Linked DNA regions of Arabidopsis thaliana. The protein of the gene in region 1 interacts with the protein of each later gene in a pairwise test. Each region holds a gene or a part of one and is shown on either strand. Other genes may lie near its edges.

Region 1 (12,559 bases):
ATGTCTGTAGAATATATGAAAACTACTTGTGAAGAACTAGCTGATTCAGGATGTGCGAAATCGGATACATCATACTGAGAAAACATGAGATGAAGAAGATGATCCATTGAGGTTGATCTTCGGAAAAAACAAGAAAAGAGAGAGGAGAGAAAGAACATTGAATGAAAGAAAAAAATCACCAAGAAAGAAAAAAGCAACTTGTTTTGTTTATTATGTCACCCAATTAAATTATGCCACGTCATCGCACCTTATACACCCAAAAACACCTAAAGCAAAGTGCGAACCTTGCTTAATATCACCATTCTGAATTAATTTTTGATCTTTTTTCTTTAGGTTTCTTCTAAAAAACTCACAAAGTGCTTCCAATAGACCTGCTCTTAGTATCTTTTAAAATATTTGCTACAGTGAATATGTTATATAATAGTGTTTTGAAATATTACATATTAAGAATTTAAATTTGTACAAAAATTTTATATTGAAGTATTTTGTCAAAAAGTTTTCATATAAATTTATACTTTTTATGATCATAGATGGATACAAACACATTGGGCAAGCATACAATTTTTCACTTGATACACTTACACGCATAAAATTCAATTGTTTTCTTGGAATTCATCCTCATCTTTTACTTTTAACACGAAAATACTTACATAATCTTTTTTAATACAACCATTGATGCATACCTAAAGAGAACTGTAACTAATTAAAAAAAAAATTGTAACTAATTTTGATGAAAGAATGGAAGGGATCTAGCTTTCCGATCATAAGTTTTACATCTATTACGATTTTGTTATCAATACACTAACATATAGTCGTTTTCGATGATGAAACTTTTTATAAAATGATATGGACCCACATATATAATATTACTTCTGAACTTCTAGTTGATGTAAAATTAAACGATTATTTTAAATATCTTTTACTCTCTACTTGGACCACCATTTAAAAAAGGGTTAATAGAGTGATGGGTAGTGGCCAGTGGGGATGAATTACCCTGCTAACTCATGTATAAAAAAAAATATTATACACTTATTTCTCTGAAACTTTCTTTATAAATAATTTTCATTTTGAAATTTAATAGAAATTTCATTTTTATTAATATAAACTTGATTTTTCATAAATATAAATTCTCTTATTAAGCCTTTATATTCTTGATATATCTTATTTGACTGTAACTCTAGAAACCAAACTAAGAGTCCATTTGGTTTTAAAAATACATTAGAACATTTTCTATGTTTTATTTAATTAAAATGGAAGTATCAAAATTATACATTCATTTCAATTACATTGAGTAATTTTTTTTTGTTTCCATCCTTTTTAGTTAATCGATTTTTACTATGAAGACTCGTTTTTTTTTTTTTTGATTCGTTTCTTTCGGATTCTGGATTACAATAGCATTCTATTTGAATAGTTACTGTCTCAAATCAAAATTTAAGAACTAATAAAAGAAAAATCAAATCTATAGATTGATATGTGCTAAATCGTGATAACTAAAAATTAAGACTTTATTAGTAAAAAGAGAATATATACCCTTAAACCATGTAATTAATTATACAATGTTTCACTAACTGCTACGTGCGAAATTAGGTTCCATTGATGTATATATATGAACAAGTGGAAAAACGGTATATTTCTCTACGAGAAGTATCACATCACGCCAAATAGAGCCTAAACTTCAACTCCGGTCTACATATCCATAAAATAAATGTTTTCAACCTATTTGTCCCCGAAACGTAAGTTGTACAGCTAAATCTCCCCGAATTAATACTTCGAGATCTATTAACCCATATATCTGGGTTTTAACGGTTTAATGTACAGCAATTCAGTTTTAACCATCTTAAAACAAACTTTAACCAAAACTAAACCAAAATTATCAAAAATTAACCCGAACCGGCCGACCCATTAACGATACGACTTCTTCTTCACATGGAAATCTTCTTCACCCATTAACTTTTGCCTCATGAAATCAATGATCGATCTTGGACGACGGTGGGAACGACGAAGTTTTCATGGAGCAACATGAGATTTTGTTGGTTTTTCAACAGATTTGTTATGAGATTATGGGTTTGTGTTTCTTTAGCTATGAAATTATTATTATGAGATTATGGGTTTTCAAATCTGAAATGCTTGATAGAACAAGAAGAAATTTCAAAGCTTCTCCACTATGCATCCAACGACAACTGTTCCGATTAATTGGTTAGCAAACGTAGTTATAGGGGCAGCCAAGCTTTCGTCTGAGAATCTTAGAGTTAGATTGTATGGGTAATTGGTATTCAAAGAAATAGGAAAAAATATAGCACTATTAATCTATTATATATATATATATATATCTTTATCATCGGAATTGAAGTGAATGACATTACAATTTGCAAAACATCACATAGATTGGAATCTAGCAGCTTTCATAATTGGTATTAGAAAAGACGCTCATGAATTTGAATCATTTAAGATATCTCATAGAGTTTCTAGGTTATTGGCTAATAGAAATCTTAATCATTAGTGGTTTAATCACAAAAAGAAAGTGGAATTCCAATTTTGAAAAAACCCAGAACGTGAAATAGGGTGAAGAAGAGAAGGAGAGGAAAGAAGGAGAAAGAGATTGGGTTTAGGTTTAATCAGGTTAACAAGTACTAACAAATATCTACTTATTGTTATTATATATTTAAACAGTTGGAATCGTGAAAAATAAAATAAAAATTGTGCATAATAGAATTAGAAACATTCTAAACATTAATTCTAAAATGATAATTTTTATACACAAATTATGTTTTTGTGTATTGAAATATTTGAATATCTATTATCCATCAACCATGAATTAATTAGAAAAATACAGTATACAATTACGTCGTTATGCTATTTTGAAAGTAACCAATTGGTCACTTAGAATCATAGAATGTATCACCACCACACAAAGACGCATGAGCACAAAAGCGGAAGAAGACATAAGCTCATTATTGTGAGTAGAAGGAGAAAGTGTCAAGTGATTGAAGTATTGAACATATATTAAAAAAAAATAAGAGAAAATTCTTTTTTAAAAAATGTTTGCAGAAGAGTGGGTGAAAATTTGAGTCAGAACTTAGAAGAAATGAGACCGACAAAAATCTAATTTTTTGAGTAAAACAATGAAGGAAATATGAGTCTGATGAACTCTGACACAACTTTTGTTTATTATTTGGTTGCAATGAAATAAATTGGGGTTAACGTGCAATTCAAGCAATCTCTCAGTGATAATGTATTCAACTATTCATATACTACAGTCTTCTCCACGAACTATCCACAAACATTACCATATATATAATATAATATATACACCCACCCACACATATGGACTTCTGCTCCCCCATTAAAAAAGTATCTAATCAAGTTTTCAGTTTTATATCAGTTTTTAGTTTGGACAAACAAGATTTTATAGATAGGTTACATCCATTGAAAGAGGAGTTGATTACACAAGATAATAACAAAGCCATAACAATTTTATATCGTTTTGGGTTGGGAAATAATCTATAAAAAAAACCAAATAGAAAAGCTGTTACAGTTTTGCTTAAGTTGGGCTTCTTAACAAACAAAATCTATAATATGAAAGTTTTTTTAAAGATCAGTTTATGTTTAGCTTCTTTCGGTTTATAGATGTAGATATTTTCTAGCATAAACATTAGACTAATGTGAGCTATGCCTATGAGTTTCTCGTAATTATTCGCAATTCTTTTTTTATCATCCCTTTATTAGTCTCTATATCTTCATTTCTTTCTTTCTTTCTTTTTTTTTCTCTTCATTTCACATTATATGAAGATGTTTTCTAACATAAAAACTTAAAATTACATAATCCGAATTAGATTGCTACGAGCTATGCATTTTCTTGTGATATTTCACAATTCTTTTTAGTAAAAATGTCTCATTCAGTGCTAAATCACCTCTAGGTTTTTTCCTCTTTTTTTGAATACCAATTCACCTATACGTTAGTTGTCATAAATACGTCTTTTCTAACGTTGGAGACTAATTGGAGTAGTTAAATTAAATGACTCGAACTACTACTACTATAGAGAATACTAGTTACTTAGGTATAATAACATATTATATATTTCTATCGAACTGAAAATAATTGAATAAGTTATAGTATATCCAAAAGAAAAATAGCTTTCAGAGTATCCGACACCCACGTGCAAGGGGAATGAATAAAGTCATAATAAATATTTTTCTCTTTAAGACTCCCACATTCATTCGCATCATTATCACTTTTTTTTATTCACCATTTTTTCAATGAATTGCATTATTGTATATTTACTTGAATACTTCCACACATTAGTTTACTAGGTTATGTTATAATATAACAAACACATACAGTTAATCGACAATGTGTAAGGATAAATTATTGAGCTAAATTTATTCATCAATGTATGAGTTTTTTCTGTCAGACTGTTTAATAAGATTGACTTATGATATGAATAAATGACTGATGGGTCGAAACCAGAATAAAAAGCTATTTTAATTATGATTGCACTAACTTTAACGTGTCCTTTATTTCTATAAAAGATAAAGAATAAATAATCAAGAAAAAAGTCCTTAACAGAAAAAAAAAAAAAAAGAGAAAAAGAAGTGAGAGACAGCGAAGAAAAGAAAAGCTGGTAACCTCATGGGATGTTTTGGCTTTGCTCAATTATTTCGAACTTTTGATATGATTTTGTTCCATTCCTTTTCATTAATCGGATGTGAAAGCTATCTACTTCGTTTATTGTATAAAGTGATGAAGAATTCTTACAATCTGAATGTGAAAAGTAAACAGTTCTTTGGCTATCAGGATTTGGAGCAGCGTTTAATGCGGCATGGAAACGGTGAACATCCGTGATCACTTTAAAAAAAACTATGGCATACACAAAACTTCTGTTTTAAAAATAAGCGTATAATTGGCAATGACAGAATTTAGCAAAAAATGATGATGATACAAATTAATGGTGATTGTGTGACGAAATTTGACAAATTAGTTAAGAGAATAAATGATAACAAAGATGACCGAACTAAAGATTTAGTTAATTAAAGATAACTCAAAATTATTGAATAACATGCATGCGATTTCTCTGGTTCACATATTCTTGAATAAGATTACAAAAAAAAAAAAAACTAATAGAACAAATGGATAATTAATTATCTGACGATTTAACAAGAACTATATTAATAAAGGTTATCAAAAGAATAATGTTTTGACTCGTAAAATTAAACTAGTCATATGTGAGCTATTTTGAAATATTCAAAGATTTACCTAGAATAAGAATTTATTGAGAATTATTTCACAAACTTAAGTTGTGATATTGGTTTGTTCGTCGCGTTTTTTGTTTCAACCAAATTTCACCCATTTAACCTGATTAAACTATTATATACTATAAATGTGAATTTTCTTATATTTTGGTTAACAAATTATATTATATTATATGGGTTAAAACTTGTGTAATAACGTAGCGATACCACTAACATAAAACAAAATATTAATTTTAGCTAGTGTAACAACAGTTTCAATAATATTTTCCCTTTGATGTAACTAAGCATATAATTTTAGCAACTATAACAACAGAAAATTCTATCCGAATAGCAAAAAGAATTATTGAAGTTGATGTCATTAATGTTAACACAGTCTAAATTAAAAATTATTTTCATAATTTATTATTTTTTCACTTAATGTTTTTTCCTCTTGTCCCCTATAGGCGTTAGTTACTAGTATTAATTGTCCACTCGTCGCGGAAATGTAACACACATTCCTCGCTCTCTCTCTCTCTCAAATCACTTGCAAAGACAAAGATCTTCCACTTCCTCTTCTTCTTCCTCTTCCTTTTTGCCTTTCTCTGTCTCCCTCTAGAGTCTCTTCTATATAAATATCACTAGATTTAGTGTTTGATCAAATCACATTCAACAATGGAGAACCCTCCCAATGAAACCGAGGCTAAGCAAATCCAAACCAATGAAGGCAAAAAAACAAAGGGTGGAATCATCACTATGCCTTTTATCATAGGTATAACTACATTTTCTTAAAATCTCCAATTCCATTTATTTTCTTGTAAAAATTCTTTAATTAATAATATTTGTTAATTTATTATGGTGAAGCTAACGAGGCGTTTGAGAAAGTGGCGAGTTATGGATTACTACCAAACATGATTATGTACTTAATCAGAGATTATAGATTTGGAGTAGCAAAAGGAACAAATGTGCTTTTCATGTGGTCTGCTGCATCAAATTTCACTCCTCTCTTGGGTGCTTTTCTCTCTGATTCCTATCTTGGTCGCTTCCTCACCATCTCCATTGCTTCTCTCTCCAGTTTCTTGGTAAATAATCTTCATCCTCTCTTCTCTGATTCTCCATTTACCAAACTGGTTTAACTTAACCAGTCGGTTTTTTGACACTTCTTTGATGATTATTTTTTTTGGAATTGAAATTTTGGGTTTATTTATCCGGTTTGGTGTGTGAAATACTTCTAAACCTGATGTGAAATTTTTGGTTTAGCTAGCTTTCATTAGTGTGAAATTCCACTACTTGTCATTTGACTGATAAGAATCCGTTACTGATTTCGAAAAACGGACAACTTCCTTTGAAAAAGTTCTTACCATGTATATACTTTTTCCGTTATATGATAGTATTTTATTACTGATAAGAGAAAAAGATATACTATTATCTTATATGAAAAGAATTTAATATTTTTACAACATCTAAAAATGAATTAATTGAAGGATGGTGGTACGAGGTTTTTTTCAGGTTATATTTTTATAAGAAAATTTCGAAAGTAATAATGGACCGGATTTTTTCATTTCCAACATATTCATCGTTACCATTGAATAGGTAGTTCTTTATTAATATTATATAATTTTCAGTTAGAAATATCTATTATATACTAGTATACAGTAATAATATATTGTACATTTTTAGCAATTTCACACTTTCTATGTGACTTGTGAGACATTTAGGACTCAACCTATGGAAAACATAGTTGCATTATTGGTTTCTTATGTTTGTGTTACACTAAATGTCATTTTTCAGATTAATTTCATAGCGTGCCAGTTCCATGTGTTCTGAATTTTCTACTAAAAAAACAAATAATTGCTAATTTAAAATGTCCTTGGCAAGTGGTGTGAGTGACCACAAATCGAAACCATAATTTCAGATGTGACAATATTCCATTTATAAGTATACTGCACTTCTAAAAATTGTGATTGCTTTGATTCATAAATAGTAACTTCAAATACTATATATAGACAGAGTTATAAAATTATATACAAGATATGTTTTATTTGTGACTTGTGTGTATACGCATGCATATAGGTTCAGTTTTTGGTCCGGTTAACATTCACTTCAGTTTTTCATAGAATTCCTTTGTCAGCAAGAATGATCAAGAACTTACCTGTGTTTATTTTTAATTTTGATTTACTTTCTTTTAACGAATTGTTTGAATAAACAACACCAAAACAGTTTTTATTCGAACCCAAATTTTTGTTACGATTTTTCTCGATTGAAATCTATGTAAACCGGATTGGACACAATTCTATTTCACAACGCATGACGTCTTTGAATTATTTTCGTTATGGGGCCAAGCTCGATTTTGTTTATAGGCTATATAGTATGTAGACGACACAGAGATAGGTGATAGGCTTAAGCAATTATTTTTGAACCGTGTCCATACTTTTTACAACTTGTCCGATTCTTGGGCGAAGTCGATAATGCAAATCAAATGTTTCAATTTCGTTACATGGATTGATTTGACATGTTGGTACAATTATTCATCTCAATCAAACAAAATTTAGTATAATTTTGGTAGGGTTAGTGACATATGACTTTACATTCGACCTACCAACGTGTGCTCATGTTCACGAGTTTGTTGCCGATATGAATAATGGATTTTTCTTCTTGGAAGTTTTTCTGTAATTAAGGATATAGAAACGTAGCATGTAATGTTTGTTAGTGTAACGACATGTAATGTTTTTTTAGCTTCCAGCTCAAATTAAATAGTGATTTATAGACCAAAGTAAATTAATTAATGATCATTGTTGATTCATACCACAGGGAATGGTGCTTTTATGGCTAACTGCAATGTTACCACAAGTGAAGCCATCGCCTTGCGATCCCACAGCAGCCGGAAGCCACTGTGGGTCTTCGACCGCATCTCAGCTGGCTCTTTTGTATTCCGCATTTGCCCTTATATCGATCGGGTCAGGCGGGATCAGACCATGTTCCTTAGCATTTGGAGCTGATCAACTAGACAACAAAGAGAACCCAAAAAATGAAAGAGTTCTCGAGAGTTTCTTTGGTTGGTACTACGCTTCCTCAGCTGTGGCGGTTCTCATCGCGTTCACGGGTATTGTATACATTCAGGAGCATCTCGGGTGGAAAATCGGGTTTGGAGTACCTGCGGTCCTCATGTTGATCGCTGCTTTGCTATTCATTCTTGCGTCTCCTCTCTATGTTACACGTGGTGTGACCAAGAGTCTCTTCACCGGTTTAGCTCAAGCGATTGTTGCAGCTTACAAGAAGAGGAAGCTAAGTCTACCAGATCATCATGACTCCTTTGATTGTTATTATCACATGAAAGATTCTGAAATCAAAGCTCCAAGTCAAAAGTTGAGGTAAAACTACTATATATACATGTACTTCTTAAGTCTCCTGAGTTTTGATTACTTTACAAGCAAGAAAGACCATACGCTCTTGATTAGGTTTATTGAAGAAAGCTTGCTATACAAGAAACATGATCAATGCATTTTTCTCACTTTTGATATTTACTATCATAGGTTTTGAAAAATTCTTGGTACAAGAGAAATATAATGCTCTCTCTTTACTTGGATAATATATCTTGATCAGGTTTTTTGAACAAACCCTGTGATATTGTCCTGTTTATATTTTGATTCTCTCTTGATTAAGTTCTTAAACGAGCTTTGTTAATTGTTATACAAGAGACATGATAGATTTTAATTTTCTCTTGGTTAGGTTTTTGAATAAAGCTTGTTTAATAAGTAACCGTGAGGAGGAGATTGGGTCAGATGGGTTTGCTTTGAATCCATGGAGGCTATGTACAACAGACAAAGTAGAGGAGCTTAAGGCATTGATCAAAGTCATACCCATATGGTCCACAGGTATAATGATGTCCATAAACACTAGCCAAAGTTCGTTTCAGTTACTGCAAGCGACTTCCATGGACAGGCGTCTGAGCCGCCATGGTTCAAGCTTTCAAGTTCCAGCTGGATCATTCGGTATGTTCACAATCATAGCTCTAGCCCTATGGGTCATTCTATATGACCGTGCGGTTATCCCATTAGCTTCCAAGATCCGAGGCAGACCTTTTAGACTTAGCGTTAAGCTAAGAATGGGATTAGGATTATTCATGTCATTCTTAGCAATGGCAATTTCCGCAATGGTTGAAAGCTTCAGAAGGAAAAAAGCTATAAGCCAAGGATATGCAAACAATTCAAATGCTGTGGTAGACATCTCAGCAATGTGGCTTGTGCCACAATATGTTCTACATGGTTTAGCAGAGGCTCTTACCGCAATAGGACAGACTGAGTTTTTCTACACCGAGTTTCCTAAAAGTATGTCTAGCATCGCGGCTTCTCTCTTCGGTTTAGGAATGGCTGTGGCTAGTCTATTGGCAAGCGTGGTCCTCAATGCGGTCAATGAACTAACTTCTAGAAATGGTAAAGAGAGTTGGGTTTCAGACAACATTAACAAGGGTCACTACAACTATTACTATTGGGTACTCGCGATAATGAGCTTCATCAATGTGATCTACTACGTGATATGTAGCTGGTCGTATGGTCCTTTGGTCGACCAGGTAAGGAATGGTAGGGTTAATGGTGTGAGAGAGGAAGAGGAGTTGATTGACATTGTTGGCAAAGGATTCGAGAAGGAAGATCTAAGTCCAGTTGTTAAAACCAATTAAGGAACAATAGGTCTTGCAAGCTTGTATTTTGTTTATAAAGGGAGCGATAAACTATAGGAAATGATATTTTATTGCATTGGTGTGTGGTGTTATTAAGTGTTAATTAAAGTCTATATAGATTTGTAATTAGATTGAATTATGTGTTTGGGTTTTCATTAGGGTTTTTGATGAAAAGGTAATGGTTTTTGGTTGTATACAAGCCAAAGTGTTTGTTGTATTTTTTTTTTTCGTGTTATTGCAATTCAAGGAGTCTTGTGTATATATTTTGGTTATCTTCTTTGTATATCAGACGAAGTCTAAAAAATGAAAAAACATGAATTTTTGTTTCTTTCTTATTTTGGAAGTTATTGTAATTAAAAATGTAAGCGTACCTATTTAATTCATTAGATCACAACATCTTATAAATAGCAAATTTTTATACCATACAATAAAACGGACTACTAAAATCCATGATAATCTTCACCCCTTACCAAAAAAAAACAAAATCCATGGCAATTCATAGTCATACCACTTGCATTGCTTCACCATGACACCATATCTAGAATTAGTAACGTAACATATATCATCGACACTAAAATTTGGTTTGATGATAAAGCCATTTATATGATAAGAGTCATAAGACTGATCGACATCCAAATTACATTATCTTACATACCACTTTGCATGCTTAGGACATGCTTCATGAGAGATACATTAAAGCTTGCTAACTTGATCAACACCATTGTGTTTGACATTTAGGCTAAATGGTGTCTTCAACAGGCTCATCCATAGTCTACCTGTGGCAATGAGTTCTTCTTCGTATTCTCTTCGAATCTCAATTATTGCTGAGTTTAGGTTCTCTGATCTCTTCCCTACCACTCTTGCTTCTATCTTTATTTCTTCCTAGATTTATTCACCACATTAAAATATATATACTGGGTGGAAAACGGTGCATGTTTCTATCAAATTAGATATATATACAGTATGTCCATAATAGTTCAATCAACACAAAGCAACGAAAATCAAACTTTTTTTATCCCATATATAAGAGTAAACAACTGTTCATCGAAAAAGTAGAAATAAAACGAGTTTTTTTTTGTCGTAAAAAACCTCAAGTAAGTAATTGATCAATATATATATATATATATATATATTTCTTTTTCTAACATTTTTAAACTAAATGATATTTTGTTTAAAAATTAAATCCGTAACCAAGCCGGACTGACAGACTCTATCAAACCTAACCAAAAGAAAATCAGTTATAATTTATCAAAATAATATTTTGTGAGTTTCCTTATACGTTATGAAAATGCTAGTATAATTTTAAAACTATCTGATCAAATATTAGCATAATTAAGAGGTCGAACTTGAATCTTGGCTGTCGAGTATAACGAATAGTTGAGATCAACTGAGGTATGGGATCCTCCAGCCGAGTAGATCGCGATGGCTCCCATCAACTCCATCAGAACCCCAATCGCTGCAGTGTGTAAGGTCCCGTCTTCATTCTGAATATAACCGTATAATACAATTATGGCATTCGTCAATACTATGACCAAAAACAATGTTTTGTCATCAAAGATACTTTATTACATAAATTTTTTATTTATTTTAAAATACCGTATCATGTAATAAACTGATACTAGAACATATTGCTTAAATGTCCTCGGATATTGTTTTGTTCTCCCTAGCTTATAAGAGTAATAATGCACATTGAAAAGAAAAAACATTAAAAAGGGTAGAATAAATTTACCACCAAAAGCAATTAAAACATTAAAATCATATGAAGGAAAAACATAAACACCAGCAAATGAAAAGAACACAGAAAACAAAACAAAAAACTAACAGAAAAAGGGTAGAATAAATTTACCAAAACATGATGCGTTACTGTCAATTTACACCGTACGATCCCTCTTCCAACATGGATGACTTGAAGGCCTTCGAGGATGAAACTTGGAAAGTGAGAATGGCTTTAATTAAGGCTGAAAATATATATAGAATCGAAAATATATCTTACATTCAGTTGATATTGTTATCCAACAAAACAGAAGATTCAGTTAATATATCATATAAAATTATGAATTCTAAATTTTTTGGAACATATATCAATTCTAAAAGTCGTAGAACATATAAAATGTATAGAATATATAATCTAAAATTTGTAGAAGTTATTCGAAATATATAAAAAAACTTATTCTAAACTTTGCATATGGAATCTCAACAATCTAAAAGCTATTTATTTTCGATATAATCACAAAATTTATTCTTTAAATTTTCTTCATATATCAAAGTGTTTTTTCAAAAAATCTCTCTTAAAACTGGTTTAAATTTTGTTTTAATACTAATAAGTGACAATTTAGTTTTTAAAAAAAATGTATAGAAACAATTCCAATTTTAAACATCTTTTATTTTCCAATTTTCCCAAAAATATATATATATATATATATATATATATATATATATATATATTTCCCTGAAAATCTATCTTAGATTTAGTTATTAATCATTGAATCCGCTATTAACGCACTAGCTTTTGGCCCTTTTTCTCAAGTATGGTAAGAAAAAAGAAGCTTGGTCCTTATTCGACGAGGTTTTGTATAGCGAGGAAATGAAAAATATGGGTGAATATACGCTAAATATCATGGTGAATGAGTGTTTCAAGATAGGTCGGTTTGACCA
Region 2 (9,783 bases), on another chromosome or scaffold:
AAGGAAAAGAAAAAGAGAACAAAATTGAAGCAAAACTTAAAACGGGATTTATTATGAGGCCTATCTCTACAATTCACGAAATGATCATACATCTTATTTTTTTGGTAGGTGAGAATAGACAATTGTCTCTCGCAATTTATTAAACTGCAACTAAAAAGAATATTACAACCGAACATGACCTGAGAACTCTGCCTCTAACATAATCGAGTGGACTACATTAGGAGAAGAGTCCAATGAATGAAATTAAACCTAACAGCACTGAAGAAAACACATTGTTATCAAAAAATTTACAACTATGTAGATTTTTTTTGTCAACTAGATTGTTATTCTGTTAGTTATAAACAGAATGATAACAATCTCCCTAATTTGTCTTAATTAAAAAAAAAAAAAAAATTAGCCATGTGTTGTTTTCTTAAACAGTCTGTTTCTTGGGATTAGGTTTTGTTTCTTTAAAAAGCACACCGGTCACTTGAGTGTCTAAAAACGTTATAAAAAACAACAAATGTGATAATCAGCAAAAACAGCTTGAAAGAGAAGTAGACACAATCATTAACATTATGGGTAATGGCCTAAACAATTGGACCACGTTTGTTGTAAAAGCTATCCTCTGCACTCTGCAGCTTTCTCAGTCCTCACTTCTCTCACCCACAAAGTCACAGTAACCAGAAACACGTTCCACATCCTATGAATCCAATCAAACCTCAGCCACTCGGAGTCCGCCACGTGGTGGCCATGCCTTGGCCAGGAAGAGGCCACATCAACCCAATGTTAAACCTCTGCAAAAGCCTCGTCCGGCGAGACCCAAACCTCACCGTCACATTCGTCGTCACCGAAGAATGGCTCGGGTTCATCGGGTCCGACCCGAAACCTAACCGGATCCATTTCGCCACTCTCCCCAACATCATTCCCTCCGAGCTCGTCCGAGCCAACGACTTCATCGCCTTCATCGACGCCGTCCTCACCAGATTAGAAGAGCCGTTCGAACAGCTACTTGACCGTCTAAACTCTCCTCCCACCGCAATCATCGCCGATACTTACATCATTTGGGCAGTACGTGTAGGCACAAAAAGGAATATTCCGGTGGCTTCTTTCTGGACTACGTCAGCCACGATTCTCTCCCTCTTCATTAACTCCGATCTTCTCGCAAGTCACGGCCATTTTCCGATCGAACCATCAGGTAGTTACAAAGTTCCCATTTTTACTGATCAAAACCGTAAAGTTCAATACTTTCATCCATAATTAGTGATTTCTGAATCCGGGTTTGTTTCCAGAATCAAAACTAGACGAGATTGTTGATTACATCCCCGGTTTATCTCCGACAAGACTCAGTGACTTACAGATCTTACACGGCTATAGTCATCAAGTCTTCAATATATTCAAAAAGTCTTTCGGTGAGCTTTATAAAGCTAAGTATCTTCTCTTCCCTTCTGCTTATGAGCTCGAACCAAAAGCCATTGACTTTTTCACTTCCAAGTTTGATTTCCCGGTTTACTCCACTGGTCCGTTAATACCCTTGGAAGAACTATCCGTTGGAAATGAGAATAGAGAACTTGATTACTTTAAGTGGCTTGATGAGCAACCTGAAAGCTCTGTTCTTTACATATCTCAAGGGAGTTTTCTTTCAGTCTCCGAAGCTCAGATGGAGGAGATTGTTGTAGGAGTTAGAGAGGCTGGAGTTAAGTTCTTTTGGGTGGCTCGTGGGGGTGAGTTAAAGCTTAAGGAGGCTCTTGAAGGTAGCTTGGGTGTTGTGGTGAGCTGGTGTGATCAGCTACGTGTTTTGTGTCATGCGGCTATAGGCGGGTTTTGGACGCATTGCGGGTATAACTCGACATTGGAAGGGATATGTTCGGGAGTACCGTTGCTTACATTTCCTGTTTTTTGGGATCAGTTTCTGAATGCTAAGATGATTGTTGAGGAGTGGAGAGTTGGAATGGGGATCGAGAGGAAGAAGCAGATGGAGTTGTTGATAGTGAGTGATGAGATCAAGGAATTGGTAAAAAGGTTTATGGATGGAGAGAGTGAAGAAGGGAAAGAGATGAGAAGAAGGACTTGTGATCTCAGTGAGATATGTCGTGGAGCGGTTGCGAAAGGTGGTTCTTCTGATGCTAACATCGATGCTTTCATTAAAGATATTACTAAGATCGTGTGAGTTCTATTGTTGTTAATGATTCAAGTCTATATTAGTATTTGTATAAGTTTGTTAAAGATTCAAACTTTGTAGAGATTTAAGATTGTTTGTAAAACTGTTATTTATAAGTTCATTTGTTAGACTCTTTGGTAGAGCTTAATCTCGTGTGTGCCTAATTTTTGTTTGACTTTGGAAATGAATTGTGAGGAGACAAATATAGAAAATAATTTATGAAATGAATTGATTTTGGTAAAGCTTACTGGCTGATTGGTTACACTATAGCTGTAGATTATTTGCTGTAGAATATTGGATGTAAGTGTAAGCTGTAGCTGTAGATTTGTAAAGATTTTATTCAGTTTGTTAGAGAAAATACTCCAATTCTGCATAAAATTCTAAAATCTGATCTTAATAGGAATGATTTTCACACATCTCATGTTTTATCTACCAATATTTTAACATATTTTGCAGTAAATTTAATATTTTACTTGATATCTAATGCTTTAGGACAATTTTTTTTTTACTTTATTTTTGATTTGAGTTCTTCGTTTTTAAGAATTATCGGTTTATAAATAACTAGATTCTGACCCGCACGTATACGTGCGGGGTTTCATATTTTTAAAAATGTATTGGAATATATTTTTAGTGAAAGATATTATAGTGTATAAATTATAATATGCATAAAAAGTGTAAAGTGTTATTTATGATAAAATAGCTATTTTTTGTAATTTATATTATTTATATTTTATTTGTATTTTGCATAGTAAATAGATTGTTAGATTTGTTTCGATTTGTAGAATAATATAGAGATATTTAGAAAATTTGTGTATTTTTGTTAGTTTGATGTATATATAAATTGATTGTTTTTGTTTGAAATTTGATCAATTAGATGATATAATGTAAAATTTTCTCCGTGGTACACCTTTGGTCGATTTTTTTGTAACTAAAAATTCAAATTTTAAGATATAGTTATTTTGTAAATATTGTTTATTTTGTTTAATGTTTAAGAATATATAATTATGTTATAATTATTAATTCTAAAATTTCACTCGTAGATTATCGTCCTTTATTAATATCAACTCAAACTCATCCCACCATATAATTTCATTCCGTAAAATGAAAAATTATTTTGTTATTTTAAATATTGTTATTGTAATATAATAAAAAAATCGAGGGATTGACATGTGGTACATCTTGGATTAATATATTTAAAAATAATTTGTATATTTAAAAATCGAGGGATTGGGTAATTATGAATATATTGATTTTAAAGTCGATTTTTTAAAAGAACAAAATCCAAGATATTTATTTTGTTGTAGTGATTGTTAATTTACTAAACTACCCATGCAAAAATTCATTTACTTAATTTTAAACTACCCTTACAATGTTGTAGTTCATACAATACTTCTCAATTAATAATATAGATAACACTTATTAGTTTTCAAGGGATAAATTTTTTTCCACTTGTGTACATTTAAATTCTACCAAAGTTTTAAAAATTTACGATGACAAAAAAATAATATTCGTATTCATAATATAAACATAATCTAATAAGTTTTTTTGGTTAGGTTCATATCGCTTAAATTAAAGTACGATTTAAAAAAAAAAAAAAAGTAAAAAAGTACGTTTTTGTTTTGGTAAAAAACACTAAAGAGGCAAAAACGTAAAAAGGCAAAAAATATATTTTTACTTGGGGAAAAAGATGTTAAAGCCCACAAGACAAGGCAGAGGTTTCTCCCATGCTTTGTCTTTAGTTTAACCGCCGCATCCTCTCTCTCTGGTCGGAGAAATCTCCAGATTTGGTCATTTCTCCAATCTTCTCGGAACCCTAATTTAACCAAACCTCTCCTCCTTCAGATTCATCTTCCTCCTAATCTCCCTAAAAGCTCAAACCTTTCTCTCAATCAATTCTAAACAATGGCAACAGAAGCAACAACCAAATTCCCAGAATCCGATCTCCGTCCAATCCCACAACCACCGGATTTTCATCCAGCAATCATCGTTCCAGCTCAAAACACAACTCTTAAATTCTGGCAACTAATGGTCGCCGGTTCAATCGCTGGCTCAGTCGAACACATGGCTATGTTTCCAGTAGATACAGTCAAAACCCATATGCAAGCTCTTCGTTCATGTCCGATTAAACCAATCGGAATCCGTCAAGCTTTCCGTTCAATTATCAAAACCGATGGACCTTCTGCTTTATATAGAGGTATTTGGGCTATGGGACTTGGTGCTGGACCAGCTCACGCTGTTTATTTCTCATTCTATGAAGTCTCTAAGAAGTTTTTATCCGGTGGAAACCCTAATAACTCTGCTGCACACGCTATTTCCGGTGTTTTCGCTACTATATCTAGTGATGCTGTGTTTACTCCAATGGATATGGTTAAGCAAAGGTTGCAAATTGGGAATGGAACTTATAAAGGAGTTTGGGATTGTATCAAGAGAGTAACGCGTGAGGAAGGGTTTGGTGCTTTTTACGCTTCGTATAGAACTACTGTGTTGATGAATGCTCCGTTTACCGCTGTGCATTTCACTACTTATGAGGCGGTTAAGAGAGGTTTGAGGGAGATGTTGCCTGAGCATGCTGTTGGAGCAGAGGATGAGGAAGGTTGGTTGATTTATGCTACTGCTGGAGCTGCGGCTGGTGGGTTAGCGGCTGCTGTAACTACTCCGCTTGATGTTGTTAAGACGCAGTTGCAATGTCAGGTGATTGAAATATCTCTAAAGCTACTGACTTTTAAGTATCTGATAGCTAATGTGGTTATAGATTGGCCAAGCTACTTTAAGTAGTTGTCTCTTGATCCTATAGATCACTTGAATGAAGAAAGATATCTTCTTTCTTCTCTTTGGATATTTTGTGATTTCACGAGTATGATTTTATAGGTAACATGTAGATTGCATCAAGCATTGTTAGAACTATGGTCATAAAACTTAATATTACTGAATTTACATGTGAAAGTCGCATAGATAATGTTTCTATATTTGTGGTTTAGAATACTTGGTCAATAGCTATTTCATAGGATTTGGGTTGTTTTGTTTGTTCTGAGAAGTTTGTTTGTGGTGATGTTTCAGGGTGTGTGTGGTTGTGACCGTTTCAAGAGCAGTTCAATAAGCGATGTGTTCCGTACAATAGTGAAGAAAGACGGTTATAGAGGACTTGCTAGAGGATGGCTACCAAGAATGCTCTTCCATGCTCCAGCAGCTGCGATTTGCTGGTCCACTTATGAAACAGTCAAATCTTTCTTTCAAGATCTCAATGGTGAAGCAAACGCAGCTTGAAAAGACACAAACATACATGCGTTTGGCATAATTTACTTGCCTGATTCAGGTCATTGATTCTTCATAGAGCTAGCTACTGGTTGGTTAGTATTAACACTAGCTCTTAGAGAAGATCTCTGTTTGTATAATTTATTTGTTTTCTTCACGCAATAATGTTATCAGATTAGAGTTACAACAACCCCAAGGCCTTTTTTCTGGTTTGCATTGATAGAGAAATTTTGTACTTTTATTTGTTTTAATGAGAAAGATACTATAAAGAGATAGATGAGCTTAAAGAGTGTCCATTCACAAGGTCAATGATAAAGATTCGATTCTTATTGTTTGAACTTTGAAATACCATTTATCAATTTCTGTGAAGAACAAGTTTCTTACAAGGACTTGTACAAAAAGAATAAAGAGAAGATCTTATCATGAACAGAGTGATTCATGAGCTAACAACTTTGGCAACGATCACAGTGACATCATCAAGCTTCCCTCCTGCAATTTTCAGAACCAGAGATCTCAACTAAGAAACTACTCTTGTTTAGTATAATATGTCAGGATAATGCATCAACATTGTTGTTTATTTACCTGTAAGCTTCTTTCCTAGTACCTTCTTCCAGAGAGGAACATCAAACCCCTGCACATATACGTTGATTCAGATATACTTTGCGTGAACTGGTAAAATTCATTCTTAGATCAAGTTAAAAATCTTACCTTGGCTCTTGCTTCTAATGCATATGGAGACTCAAACTCTGTATCTCTTGAATGGCTACTCGCCACTTCAGCTAATAACCTTGCTGTAATGGTTATACCAAAAAACATGTAACTTACTAAAAATCAAGAGAGATGGTATATACATATACATACATGACTCTGCAACATCTGTATGCTTGGTCACTATAGAAACGATCTCATGATCAAACACATTATCGAAAAGTCCGTCTGAACCCATCACGATCACGTCTCCCTTCTGTACTTCCACTATGCTAAACTGCTTGAAATGCAAAAAAAATGATACAAAGGTACAATACTAGCACAAATCATGAAGAGTGGTAAGGATTTATTTACCGATGCATCTAGATAAGTTTGAGCAGACCCCTCAGAGCTTAGTTGGTAAGGACAGTCAAAATAGTGCTCTTGTGGAGCAGTGGCAAAAATAATCTGACCTGAAAATGAGAATGAAAGAAGAAGATCTTTGTCAAAGGCTGAACATGAAAACAATCTAGCATCTTAGGTTACAGTGTAGTACCTTCCCGAAGAAGCTTAAGTCCACAGTCACCAACATTGCCTATTTTGAGAATACCCACTTCCTCAAGCATAGCTAGAATACTGCTTTCATCAATAACCGGGACATCAAGCTATCCAAAAAGGGAACAAAAACCAATCTTTGAAGAGAATAACAATCAAATCTCACTCACATTGTGGCAGAACCTCTAGAAGTAGTTGCGGTATGAGCTTTGTCAATGAGAAAACCAGGATCATATCTGACCTCTTGGTCATCAACTAAACGAGAAGCGTTAGCCATAAGTTCTTTAGAGAACAAGGAAGGATCAACATCTTGTTCAGCCCAACTGAGACAGAAAAAAATATAAACTTTATCAACATTAAGATAAACCCACAAAGAAACTCAAAAGTTAGCATAACCAAAAGCTAAAGCTTACCCGGAGACACCATCTGCAACAGCCATGACTCCACCTCTATAACTACTTACAAAGAAAGCATCTTCACCACCTTTCTCTACCTATATAATTTCGACACTAGATGTCGATTTTAATTGCATAAATATTCTCTAAGCAAATCCAAATTCATTACATCCAAAGAAGAAAAACAGAGACTTTGGTCTGGTGTTACCTTATCTGGATGAGGGATTGCGTGAATTCCGACAGATAAAGAGAGTTCAGGCCTAAAGGAAAATGCAAACATATTTTGACAAATGAGTTCTCAGTTTCGAACAACGTAAACTCGAAATAGTACAAGAGAGAGCAGAGACCGAAGTGGTTGGATTTCTGATGGAGCACAGCGACAGAGGAAGTCAACGCGACTAGGGTTTGGATGTGAGAGACGAAGCGATGGTATTGCGTGAGGAACCATCATTCTCGTCACTGGAATCGCCATTTCCTGCAATGGCTTGCTCTCTCGTTCTCTTTCAATCCTGTGGTGGTGCGTACTTTGTGTGTGAAGGTTGTTTAATTTTAGAGATAATTATTAACTAGAAGAGATAGAATCAATAAGCACCAGTGGTCTAGTGGTAGAATAGTACCCTGCCACGGTACAGACCCGGGTTCGATTCCCGGCTGGTGCACTAAGCTATGATGATATTGGCTTAAGCATTGGGTGGGTCCTTTGCATTTTTCTGAATTATCAGTTGAGATATGCCACACCTCTGAGCTCTTTTTTTTTTCCCTTATGTAAACTAAATTTTTCAAGTAACATTTTTTGTATTATCACTCAATTTCTCTTACTATATTCCATACTATTTCTGTTCTTGAAATAAAGCATCTCGGCCAAAAAAAGGTAAAACCAACGTTTCTAATTAATTTTCTTACATCCAAATCACTCGATCATTTATGTGACATACTCAAAGAAAGATAAGTTTTTTCGCATCCAAAAAATTGATATTGTCAATAATATTCAATAAATGATCCATGAATTTGGATGAAAATCTTCAACTCTTATAAAAACTCTTAACACTTCAAATAGGTCTCTTAAGGAAATTTACTCTAATTCTTTTAATTAACAATTGTTTCTATATTTTGTTTTATAGCTTTTTTATTATTTAATTATTGAAAGTCCTTGTTTTAATTGTAAGAACTCATGAGTTTGTCCATTTAAAATACCACAAAGCTCAACACGTAACTCATATTCTTATAATTATATTATTTAGAATAAACTAAATGTAACTCATAAAAAACCATGGTCTACCAACTTATTGGGTATAGAACTAGTTTCAGTGGAGAGTGTCCGAGTCAAAATGAGAATCCCAAAAGAAGAATGCTACAAAGTAAGTTGTTTAAAATATAACATGAACCCAACTTCCACCGGTTAGTAACGTTCATGTTTGTCACTGTCCATTTTATGAACTTCTCATTGGAACTGTAACTATATTCCTGAAAGTCATAAGAGAAAGATCAAGTACTTAATTTACAATAGATGATACAACACATATACATGTTGAAACATTTGAAAAACAAGAATTTTGACATGTATAAACTGATTCATCTTGTATCATTAGGAACTGGGTAAAATCACCATCCAATAAATACCCGCTAAGATCAAAACCATAAACCATGATTAGCATAGCATAAAACCTTCAACCAGATCACTCGACTTCAAATAACATACAATTAACTAAACTTACGTAGTTGAAACAACAAGCACCAGTGGTCTAGTGGTAGAATAGTACCCTGCCACGGTACAGACCCGGGTTCGATTCCCGGCTGGTGCATCTAGTAGCATGTGAGCAGTGATGAAAATATCTTGAGCTGTGGTGATGAATCTTCGGATATGATATTAACCTCGCTATAATCTGAGCTCACTCATTTCTTTTACTTTTTTTTTTGATTGAGCAGCAAAACCCAAAAACTAGTAACACAAATTTGAGATTTTGTCACTTCACTTCAACTGAAACTAAAAAGATATCTCAATACATATATCCTGTAAAGTGTCACATAAATATTCCATACAAAACTTTGAATTCCAAACTATTGAAGCACTAGAGAGATCCACAGACATACGTTGTAAATTTACTTATTATCAATGATTCTCAACTCAAATACATGTGAACAAAAAGCTAGCAATACTCTCAAGCACTGATGTTTTCGAAACTTGCGCTTTTATCTACTCTCTTGAATATCCCTGCAATTACCTGGTGTTTGAATGCCACAAAACACACAACTTAGAAGAAGAAGAAGAAACCTCCATCTATAATGAGTTTACGAAGATAGAAAAATACCTTTCCAGGTCCCAATTCGTAGCTGCTTTTAAGTCCTTTGGATAAGAGAGTCTTTACTGTTGTCTCCCATTGGACTGGAGATGTCACCTGTAGTCAACATTTGCATCTTTTTTTTATATAGCGTCGCCAAAAGAGAAATAATTCACATAGTTCTCTGAGTATTGATTTATTACCTGGCGTGCAAGTATCTTCTTGATCGTGTCTGGATCTGCATGAGGCTGTGCATCGACATTCGAGATCACTGGGATCCTCGGACTTCTGATCTCTGTGGCTGCCAATGCAGCTTCTAATCTCGAGACTGCTGGTTCCATGAAACTAGTGTGGAAAGCACCTGCAACAGCTAGACGCACCTACAGAACCAACCGCCAACAATCATGTTTCTGATAGCATCGAGGAAGATTTCATAACATAAATGGAATTAGAGAGAGAGGATACCGTCATTCGT
Region 3 (10,576 bases), on another chromosome or scaffold:
AGAGTATCGTGTGGTCATCTACTTGGATCTTATATCAGTTAGTTAGAAAGCATAGACTTTGACACTGTCATTCATGACTTTGCGTTGACTAGAGTTCGTCAAAAGCGTTTCTTTATTTCAAATTAACTATTGTGTTTTATTTTGTTGTTTTAGATCCAATAGAAGAGGATGCATAAGATATGAAGCAATTTAAAGTAATGTGGTATTGATAAATGAAGATATAGAACTTAAAACATGATTATATGAAATGGTTTTTGTTTTAGCATGCTTGAAAAAACTCCTTTTTGTAAGTTGCCGTAAGGCTTCTCGATTGTTTGAGCCGGGACTAAATTTACATGAAAAGATTTGGTTTCGAGAAAGTGTATCAATGAATCGACGACATTAATACATAATTAATTACAGCCAATAAATATGAGCCACTTAACTTCAAAAATACACAAAACTCGATTTCTTTGCGTAATGCGAGGAGAATTAAAAGAGTATTGGGTTATTAATAACAAAATTGTCCAAAACAGCCTTGTGATGTCCAACAAAGGAACGAATATTTTCATTTCCCTGTCCAACAATGACGTCATTTCCTACCTATAAATAAGTTCCACTCGTCCCCCAGAATTCTCGGTTTAAGAGAAAAAGAAACCAAAAGGCAAAAAAGACACAGAAAATTTTGAAACCTAGAAGCTTCTAACAATGGTGGCCGTAGCTGAGAATCAGAAAACGAAGAACAGTCTCAAGTTCCTCTGCAGTTACGGCGGAAGAATCCTCCCTCGTTCTATCGATGGAAAGCTCCGTTACGTCGGCGGTTTCACCAGAGTACTCTCCGTTCATCACTCTATCTCTTTCACAGGTCCGTTTCAATCTTTTTCCCCCCATTCCAATTTCATCTAACTTTTCCAATTCATCGAAATTGATTTTTCTACTTCTCCTTCAGAATTGACGATGAAGTTGGAGGAATTTTGTGGATACTCCGTTGAATTGAAGTGTCAATTACCAAATGGAGATCTCGAGACACTAATCTCCGTCAAATCGGACGAAGATCTGGTGAATATCGTTGAAGAATATGATCGTGTTTACGGAGGCAAGATCCGTGCGATTTTGTCGCCTCCTAAGCAGATGTCACCACGATCTAGCGGCGGCGGTGGAGATCTATCGCCGAAATCGCCGTTCTCCGTCGTGGCTTCTCCATCTCCGCCTCGGTATTGTGTGGCTCCGCCGACGGAGAATCTTCTCAGTAGATTCCGTATGAGAACTGGAGAATACTCTCGTTGCTGTAACTGCCGTGTTCCAAACAGAGACTCCAAGCTTATCTGGCAATAACGTCAGACGGAGAAATAAAAATGGCTTAGAAAAAATAAATGTGAAAAAATGAAATCTAGGGTTTTATGATGTGTTGTTGTATGTGAAGAGAAGGAATTATGAAAATTAGTGAAATTTTGTGGTCGGTGAACAAACGGAGAAGTTGACGGAATATTTTCCCGGCGGTTATTAACCGTTAACTTTGCCGTTAAGATATGTGGGCAACGTACGACGTCAGTTTTATTCAATACGTGGTATGTTGCGACTGTTCCAGACGTGAAACGTGTCGTAGTCAGATGCGAGTACACGTGTGTATTGTGGGGATCAGTGGATGTGTATCCTCACACGTGTACCTCTGTTAGAGTTTCTTATTTTGTTTCCTCAGCAGAGGTTTTGCTCTCCATTCATTGTTTTTGTATTTTGCTAAACTTTCATTTTGTTTTTGTTTGTATATTATATAGATTTATATTGTACATTATTTTATTTTATTTTGTCTTATTTTATGGGTCTAGTCAGGATGACATATATCCAACTAAGTTTTTATTTTCCCAAGAAAAAGAACAAAAAAAAACAGGGAATTATATATAGATCCCAAAAACTATTAATTATTAAATCCCACACTCATAGACAAAAAAAAATAAATTTTTTTTTTTTTGATAGATTGTCAAGTGACCAAAGATCGTAAGAACGCAATTAAGATCTTAACAATATGAATGCATAAACACTGAGGGAGACTGTTTTCTGAAGAAGAATTAATCAAAATTTTATTTTGTTAACAATATGTTAAAATTTGATTTGACCATTTCTCAACAAATTTGATTTACTCGACATCGTTGGATCTAATTGAAGCAAATGTCTTAATCATGTCACTGTGTCACTGAGCCAATCGATCTTCTAACCTTTACAAGTAAAAATTTGGAAAAATAGAAAATGTAGGGCAAGTGGACACTTCTCTAACTTTGGTGAATGGTTAAATGTCAGCATCACTATCACTATAACACACAAGATTAGATACGTGACCGAAAAACCTAAGCATCAATAGACAGTTTCCATGTCAAAAGTTTATTCCTTTGCATCTTTTTCTTAATCCTGAATTGCTTTTTCATCCAGAATATCCATCTCTGTTTTGTTAGTTTACGGTAAAATGCTGTCATAGGGCTTAACCAGTTTCGATCCGGCTCGGTTTGATGAAGATTGGTTCAAATCAAAACCCTATTTTCAAAGTGTAAACCTGATCCGTCCATATAATGATAAAACACTAACGAACATTATTAAGACCTTAATGTTTTTTTAGGTAGAAACTAAGACCTTAATTGTTTCAAAAACCGTTGTACAATTTTCATGACTTGTCTTTGCAACGTATGGTATAAGAAACAAAGAGAAGTTGATGTATCAAAAGCAACAAGAAAAAAAAGTCTAGAGACCAAAACACTTGGCTGATAATTAAATACATTGATTGAAGTGACATTTTATAGTATGATGTCTCTTTGTGAGCTCTCTCTTCATTCAGCTACTTCAATCAGAGACAGCCGCATGTGTGAAGAAGGAACACGTAAGCTTAACAGACTTCTGGAACAAACCTCACATGGCCAAAGCAGACAGGTCTGGAGGTTAATATTCGGATAAGAGTTTTCTGACTTTTCATGTCGTCTAATACTTCCAACAATGATCCTCAATAAAGATGAAAGCAAAGAGAAAGATTCTACCAGGACATGATCAAGACCTCAATCCATAATTGCATTCTCTGATGAAAATAATGATATCCATTCAATACTGAGTTGAAGAAAACAAGAAAGAGACAGAGAAGCTCAACAATTGCAAAATGAATAAATAAATGCAAACTGTTTATGAACAATCCTACAACATCTTTCAGTTCCATCAACAAAGCCTACAAAATCATCTTACTACCCTGCAGCACGTAGAACAGAGGAATGGACATTATTCGCAAAGAGAGTAGAGTTTTATTCCAGAGAGGTTGAATGGAAAGACTTCCAAACAGTAGATGACCTCTTGGTTGTATTCTTGTAGCTGAATGGGATGAACATGTCTCTGCGGAACAATTGGGTGACATAATACCTCAAGCTGCAGCACCAAAGAGTTCGGAGATTTTAGGGTGAGTTTTAAAGTGATGGGGACATATGAAGAGAAGATTTTTCGCATCAGTGAGTCTTCCTTCTCGATAGAAAGCTTCAATGACATGAAAGTAGGCTGCAAAGGAAGGAGAATCCTTTGAGCTAAGCACATCCAAGAACTTCTTAGCGTCTTCCAAAGTCCCAAACTTTGCAAGGTATCCATCAAAAGCTTCTGCATACGCAGGGTAATTTTGCTTCTTCATCATCTGAAGAAGATCTAGTGCTTCTTCACTCTTCTTGATCTTTAGCAGCTTGTCTATAAGAAGTTTGTACGTGCTTTGCCAAGGCTTTACATTGGCATTTTTCACCATCTCCATAAGGAATATGCTTGCCCCCTCGAATTTGTTGTGGATAACAAACCCATCTATCAAGACATCAAGCAGATTAGAGTCAATATCAAACCCTTTCTCTAGCATATTCGCAAAACACGCCAAGGCCTTATCCAATTCATTGTTTTTGCAGTGCCCTTGGATCAGTATAGTCCAAGTTTTTATGTCGGGAAAGCATCCTTGTGCTTCCATTTGATCAAGGACTCCTCGTGCTTCTTCTAATCTCTTAGCTTTACAAAGACCAAACACGAGTTGGCTGTATGTGATGTTATCCGGCTCATAACCCGCATTTCTCATAGCCTTGGTGATTTCCTCAGCTTCGTCAAACCTACCTACACTGGTTAAAGACCTGTGGATTCCATCATAAACAGCTTTTGAGAGAGACTTCCCTGTTGATTCATATTTCCTCGAAACCCGAAACACCAAATCCAAATCTGGATTGGGACTACCCGATAAATACCTCAACAAAAGACTACAATCTTGAATAGATGGTTTGAACGGACCATCCATCATATATTCATAAAGCTTAACTGTCTCAGCCATCATTCTAGATTTCTGAAACTGCCTTGAAACCTTTATATAAGTGTCAAGATCCATATCATACCCTGCAGTCTTCATTTCATCAACAACACTCCAAAACTCTGCAACCGAGTTAGGCCTAGCCAAAACCCTCAAAGCTGCGTTATAAGTAACAGTACTGTGTTGATAACCAGAAGAACTACCACCACCACCAACCCAATGGAAAAACGCCAAAGCTTTCAAAGGATGTTCCCTTAGTTCTTTCAACACCCTAATCACAAAATTATCCGACAAAACGAGCTTCATCTCCTGCAATTCCCTCTCAACCTCACAACTCCAATCCCCCTTAGTAACAACAGCAGAAACCTCTCCAGCAACAACAGACATTGCGTTCTCCTTAAGCATTCTCTCATAAAAATGAGCCACAGCCACAGCATCAGCTTTCGATTTCTCCTTACTAAGCTCACCATAAATAGTCTTATAAGTATCCTCGTCTAAATAAAACCCTCCTTGTTTCATCTCCCTCAGAGTCATCCAAAACCGTTTCATTGATCTCTGCTGCACTAAAATCCTCAACATAATGCTATAGAGTGGAGTACTTGGACTAAGCCCTGAATCTCTCAAAACCCAATCGAGAAAGTAATAAGCTTTTTCAGGATACTTCTCCAATTTCCTCAGAACGTAAATTGCAGTCTCGTGTGTCAAAGACATATCAGGTTTCCTCAATCCTTCCTCTACTTCCTTAGACCAATCATTCTCAAGCACTAATTGAAGCATAGAATCTGGTTTCGAAGAAAAGGTTCGAAATTTCCAAAGAAATCGACTAGGGACGATTGCAAATGAATCGAGAGGCGAAGACAAGTTTGAGGAAAAACCCACCTTAGATCGGCTTAGATACGATCGAGTAGAGATCTGTGAGTACGCGTGTCGAAGAGAAGACAGGATTGCCATTGATCTGTACATGGCTACAGATGCTACTACTGTGATTTTGTGTGTTTTCGAATAAGGAAGAGGGAGAGGAAGAGAAAGTGACAATAATAGGGTTTAAGCAAAAATGCAATTTTCCTGAAAATTTAGGGGTTTAACTCCTGAAACGCTGCGTTTTAATGCTGTGATATGATATTTTCAAGTTGGTTTATTCTGGCTTGGGCTTTTAAGCCCATTTATGCCAGATATTTGGGTCCAGTCCCGGAATCGCTTACCAACAAGAACAATTTAACTTAAATTACTTTTCGATTTTAGTTCTTATGAAAATTGAGGGCTTTTCTCGGTGCCCTAGAATTGATCGGAAAAATGTTTTCTTCATGGCAGAGCAAGGGAGTGCATGCTTCGACGGATCAGAAACCAATTCCTGAACAAGTATGAGAATTTAGTTTATTTCAGTTTTTGTTTTGATTATTTATTTGCTCTTTGTAGTTTTGATTGGATCCCTTGAGTCCTTGACGCTGCCATATGCTTATATTTGCTTACTCCCTGAAACGCTTTCTTTCCTATAAAGATGTTTTAAGGTAGTTTTATGAAATTTTGGGCTTTTAGCCCATTTATGCCAAATGTTTTGGTGATTAGGTTTATTATCTATGAAACCCTAATATATTATCTTGAGGCATACGCTATTTAAGAAACACCAGTACCCATTAAACCTAATAGGCGAGAGAGAACAAAATATGAACCGCTCTATATCTTCTTCTAAGATTATGAGAGGCGAGCATAGATCATAAGACAACCTTATTAGAGTCTCTGCAAGTGAGTCCAGTGAAGACGAGTAAGGTTCATAAGAGTTGGGTGAAGAGGACGAGGCTAGCTCAGAAGAATCAAGTGAATAAGAACACAGTGATGTGACCTATCATCACCGCGTTCTTTTCTTCTCCCAGACTCTTCTGAGCTAGTTACGTCTTCACCTAACTAATTCAAGAAATATTATTTGACAAATAGTTTTCCTTCAATCATAACTGTCACAATTTTGTTACACATTTACTTACCTTTAGTACAACATAATATTGCAAACCAAATTAATCTTGACGAGAGTGTGTAATGTAAAAAACGTACTAACACAATAAGTTATCAGAATCTTTAACTTGCAATCTCACCAAAGCCTCTTCACAAATCTCAGGAGGAAACTCTTTTAAGAACTCAGTAACAATACGTTCTTGATCTCTCTGCATCTCTTCAATCTCCTCTCTCTGTTTCCTCAACAAAGACTCAAGTTTCTCTACTATAACCCCAACTTCTTGATTGATCGGTCCTTGTGCTGACGACAACTTAGAATTAGACCGTGGCGCAAACGGTGAACGTGAGTCTCCAGCTCCAGCTTTAGGAGAGGACCAGAATTTTCTCCCTGAAGGAAATCTATCTAAATGGAGCGTCTCTGGAGAAGACAAACATTTTTGTACCGCTGAATCATCACCGATAAGTCGAGAAGGGGTCCAATCGGGGATGTGTGAATGTATCTCTGTGTCGATCATTTTAGCTATCGTTGAGATGTCTTGATCATCGGTTAAGTCTAGTTCTTCGACCATTTCGATGGCGACTGAGAAAGATGTGTCTGTCTCTATGTTAAATGGGAAGTGGATATTGCGGATTTGACCTGTATAAAAAATGTTATTATTGTGTCAAAAGAAGATTTAGTAATGATCTGAAGATTTGTAATAAAAAAAGCAAAAAAGATTTTGAACCTTTGGAATCGGTGATACGTAGTTTTAGGAAGATTGTGTTGAGGTCTTTACGTTGGCCTTCTACGGTTAATAAGCCTACCTCAGAATCCGAGAGTTTATCCACGATTCCGTTTCCGTTGTAACCATTTTCTGTGACAATGTTATTGAACTTGGTGTTAGAAAATTTCACATAGAAAAAATATAGAAACTATCTTATGTTACTATTATTGATTTTAACTTTTAAGAAAGGAGTCCATGACACTTCATATTGAGATGAAATGAAATACCATAATCTGATATTACCTTTGTGAGAGCTGACGTTTTCGGTATTTTCCTTGTAGCATTTCAGAAAAGGATCATCAAGTAGTTCCTTGGCTGACAAGCGTTGCGAGACCTTTGCGATACACTTCTCTATGAATGCTCTCACTTGCGGATCAGTCACATTTAAAAGAGCGGCTGGTTTGATTCCCTAAGAAGCATTGAGAAAAATGGATCGACAATATGGAAAAAGTCATTCTTGATTGGATATGAGATGGGAATATGATCACTTACCGATGTAACTTTCCTATAAATCTGAGCAGCATTTGTGCATTCGGAATACGGGTATTCAAAAGTTACCAGCTCAAGCAAACACATTCCAAACGCGTAGATATCGACAAGTACATTATAGTCCTCTTCATAGAGTTCCGGCGCCATAAATTCAGGAGTTCCTTAAACAATTTCAAACACAAAATTATAGTTTCACAATGGAGAAACTTTTTCGTTTGAGAACAAGATTAAAGATCTCACCGATGACGCTATGAGCAGAGCGAGCGCGGTGCAGAATCGCGGCTAGCCCTAGATCTCCAATTTTGACCTCACCTTGGTTCCCATTAATGAAAATGTTATCACATTTAAGATCTCTATGGATCACAGGAGGATCATGGCTATGTAGATAAACAAGCCCTTCTAAGATCTGCCTTGACCATTTCTTCAATGCTCTTAGATCAACACACTTATGTTTCTTCCGGTACCTATAAGGGTTTGTCAAACATGAATAATATTGATCAAATAAAAAAGATTTGATTTGACTTCTGAGAGAGGAATCTGACTGTCTAAGATTTCCGGAAGTGAAGACTTCGGTGATGAGATTGATAGTCATGTGTTGGTGATCGATCCAAGAAGTGTAGAATTTGATGATGCTTTTGTGTTTAAGGGTTTTGAGTAAGTGAACTTCAGAGTAAAGACGATCTAAATCCTCTGAGCTACAGAATTTATCATCTAACTTAACTTGGTTCCAAGCCACTTCGATTCCTTCAAGTTGGTCAAATGCTCTGTATCTGAAGAACTCTCTGATCAAAGAAACCCTTTAGTGACTGTGTCTTGTCCGAATCTAATCTGATTTGTCTCTGTAGTAATAACAGAGATCTAAGAAAAAGGATACACTTCTTTGAAAGCTCCTTTGCCTAGAACTTCTTTATACTGAAAACATGAGAAACAAAAACATTAGAATTGAGAAAAAGGTAACACTAAAATCAAGTAAAGAAGAACAGACCCGGCCATAGCGACCAGTGGGATCAATCTCAACGAATTCTTCCTCGGAGTTATTCTCGTCTTGTCGCATTCTTGGTTACTTGCAATTCAAAACAGATGATAGGAGTTCTTGAGAGAAGAGAGAAATTTAGTCAAGGAAGAACAAGTTTTGAAGCAGTTTCTGATAATAATAATAATCATTACTTAGCTGTCTTTTTGTGTATAAATCGATTATTTAGATTTTGTGCCATTAAAACCAAGCTTAAGCTTTTCCAGCTGCTGATCATAATGGTGTCGACTGTAGAATGTTGTACACTCTCTCTCTTTCTCATCTTCGAATTTAGGACACTCAGATCCACTGGACAAGACCACGTGGCAAAGGTGTGGGTCGTTGCTTTTTTCGCGCCATGGATCTGGTTTTTTATTTGATTTTCTTCTCATTTATTGTCATGTTACTCTAATCAATTATTTTGCTTATTCAGTCAACTTCATGGTGTTGTGAATATAAAATATTCGGACTTTTTTTTTCCCCTTCTTAACTCTTAAGTCACTGTTTTAGCTGACTAAGAACCCTATAATTGACTATCCTACAAATCGAATAATGGGTTTGGTAAATTACAAAATGTTTAGCCATTGAACCCGCTTGTCATGGTAACGAATTCGATTTTACTGTGTGTAAACAACAATTTGGACTTCAGCTTCAGTTCTTTTAAACTTAAGGAAACTTTTCACTAAAGGGTTTTGCTCTCTCTCTCAGGATTAATAGAATAATAGTCATAGTTTTTGGTGAAACATAAATATTCAATGTTGTTACACTTTAAATAGAAACTTGTACTGACACAAATCACTACACTAATGTTATGATCATTTGTTATAATCTATTACTTCTACTTATATCTCAAAATATAAATGTTTTACATATTGGAGACAGAATGTTTGAGACGAATTAGGACATTTAAATTTTCATGGAGAATTGTTTGTTGAACAATGTTGTCGTTGTATTTTTGATGAGTATGAATTGGCGGTTCAGCCGTTTAAAAACCGATTATATACAATGATCATCAAATTTTTGTAAGGCCCATTGGGCCCAGAGTATATAAATCCTTAGAGCTGACGGCAGCCTGAGACCATTATCCTAGGCACTTGTATTGTATGGTGGTAAGACACATCGTGGAAGCACCGAAAGACTAGAACGGTGACACGACCAAAATAAGACATAAATCGTAAACGCACCAAATGACTTTCACAAGGAAAAATCTCGAAGAACTAAACATTAAAAGACTGGTGCATGCATAAATACATAAGTCCAAAAGATTGAGTGGACAGTAATTACGTACTAGTACTACCGTGAAGAAACTTGGCTTGTATATGTAAGTCCAAAAAAACCACAAATAAAAACTCTTCACAAGAACACGTTTTGATGTACTTGAAGAATCCAGACATGATGATCATGTTCTTTCTGTTATGCTCAATAATCTTTGTAGTTACCATCATAATTTTCAGAAAACAGAAGAGAGGGAAGAAAAGAAACACACTTCCGTCACCACCGGGACTACCGTTGATCGGAAACCTTCATCAACTCGGCCGCCACCCTCACCGATCACTATGCTCTCTCAGCCACCGGTACGGTCCTCTTATGCTTCTTCACTTTGGCCGTGTCCCCGTTCTTGTAGTATCTTCAGCTGAATTGGCTAGAGACGTTTTGAAGACGCATGACCGTGTTTTCGCAAGCCGGCCACGGTCAAAAATCTTCGAGAAACTTCTTTACGATAAGCATGATGTGGCCTCAGCTCCTTATGGAGAGTACTGGAGGCAAATGAAAAGTGTGTGCGTCCTCCATCTATTCAGCAACAAAATGGTACGATCCTTTCGAGAAGTGAGAGAAGAAGAGATCAGTCTGATGATGGAAAAGATCAGGAAATCGATTTCTTTGCCGGTAAATCTAAGCAAGATCTTGGTGAGTTTAACTAACGATGTGATATGTAAAGTTGCTTTGGGACGGAAATACGGTGGTGAAACGGATTTTAAGGAGTTAATGGAGAGACTAAATAAACTATTGGGGACGTTTAGTGTGGGGAGTTATGTACCTTGGCTTGCGTGGATTGATTGGATCCGCGGTTTAGACTGTCAACTAGAAAAG

Evidence for each region.
Region 2: the proteins of AT1G52190 (region 1) and AT2G30160 interact in a protein complementation assay, tested with the Arabidopsis thaliana proteins (one large-scale study listed by BioGRID).
Region 3: the proteins of AT1G52190 (region 1) and WNK3 interact in a protein complementation assay, tested with the Arabidopsis thaliana proteins (one large-scale study listed by BioGRID).

The regions. Positions count from the first base shown.
Region 1 is NC_003070.9:19,428,770-19,441,328, forward strand, and holds AT1G52190 (Major facilitator superfamily protein), read left to right. Parts: upstream 1-5,710; 5' UTR 5,711-5,901; coding exon 5,902-5,998; intron 5,999-6,090; coding exon 6,091-6,308; intron 6,309-8,037; coding exon 8,038-8,597; intron 8,598-8,955; coding exon 8,956-9,904; 3' UTR 9,905-10,262; downstream 10,263-12,559. Other genes in the region: AT1G52191 (Thioesterase superfamily protein), read right to left, coding at 10,598-10,786, 11,251-11,388, 11,751-11,832. UniProt on the Arabidopsis thaliana protein: Low-affinity nitrate transporter involved in xylem-to-phloem transfer for redistributing nitrate into developing leaves. Not involved in dipeptides transport.
Region 2 is NC_003071.7:12,873,974-12,883,756, forward strand, and holds AT2G30160 (Mitochondrial substrate carrier family protein), read left to right. Parts: upstream 1-3,825; 5' UTR 3,826-4,042; coding exon 4,043-4,831; intron 4,832-5,197; coding exon 5,198-5,404; 3' UTR 5,405-5,688; downstream 5,689-9,783. Other genes in the region: AT2G30150 (UDP-Glycosyltransferase superfamily protein), read left to right, coding at 685-1,177, 1,272-2,149; PBCP (Protein phosphatase 2C family protein), read right to left, coding at 5,829-5,881, 5,975-6,023, 6,101-6,183, 6,254-6,377, 6,455-6,552, 6,636-6,715, 6,805-6,957, 7,048-7,127 and 2 more; EMB3147 (EMBRYO DEFECTIVE 3147), read right to left, coding at 9,189-9,251, 9,339-9,425, 9,512-9,688, 9,774-9,783.
Region 3 is NC_003074.8:17,866,694-17,877,269, forward strand, and holds WNK3 (with no lysine (K) kinase 3), read right to left. Parts: upstream 8,838-10,576; 5' UTR 8,528-8,837; coding exon 8,459-8,527; intron 8,386-8,458; coding exon 8,348-8,385; exon of another isoform or gene 8,244-8,347; coding exon 8,016-8,243; intron 7,938-8,015; coding exon 7,714-7,937; intron 7,635-7,713; coding exon 7,477-7,634; intron 7,394-7,476; coding exon 7,228-7,393; intron 7,075-7,227; coding exon 6,946-7,074; intron 6,858-6,945; coding exon 6,319-6,857; 3' UTR 6,127-6,318; downstream 1-6,126. Other genes in the region: AT3G48240 (Octicosapeptide/Phox/Bem1p family protein), read left to right, coding at 688-844, 929-1,314; BIR6 (Pentatricopeptide repeat (PPR) superfamily protein), read right to left, coding at 3,371-5,236; CYP71A26 (cytochrome P450, family 71, subfamily A, polypeptide 26), read left to right, coding at 9,878-10,576. UniProt on the Arabidopsis thaliana protein: May regulate flowering time by modulating the photoperiod pathway.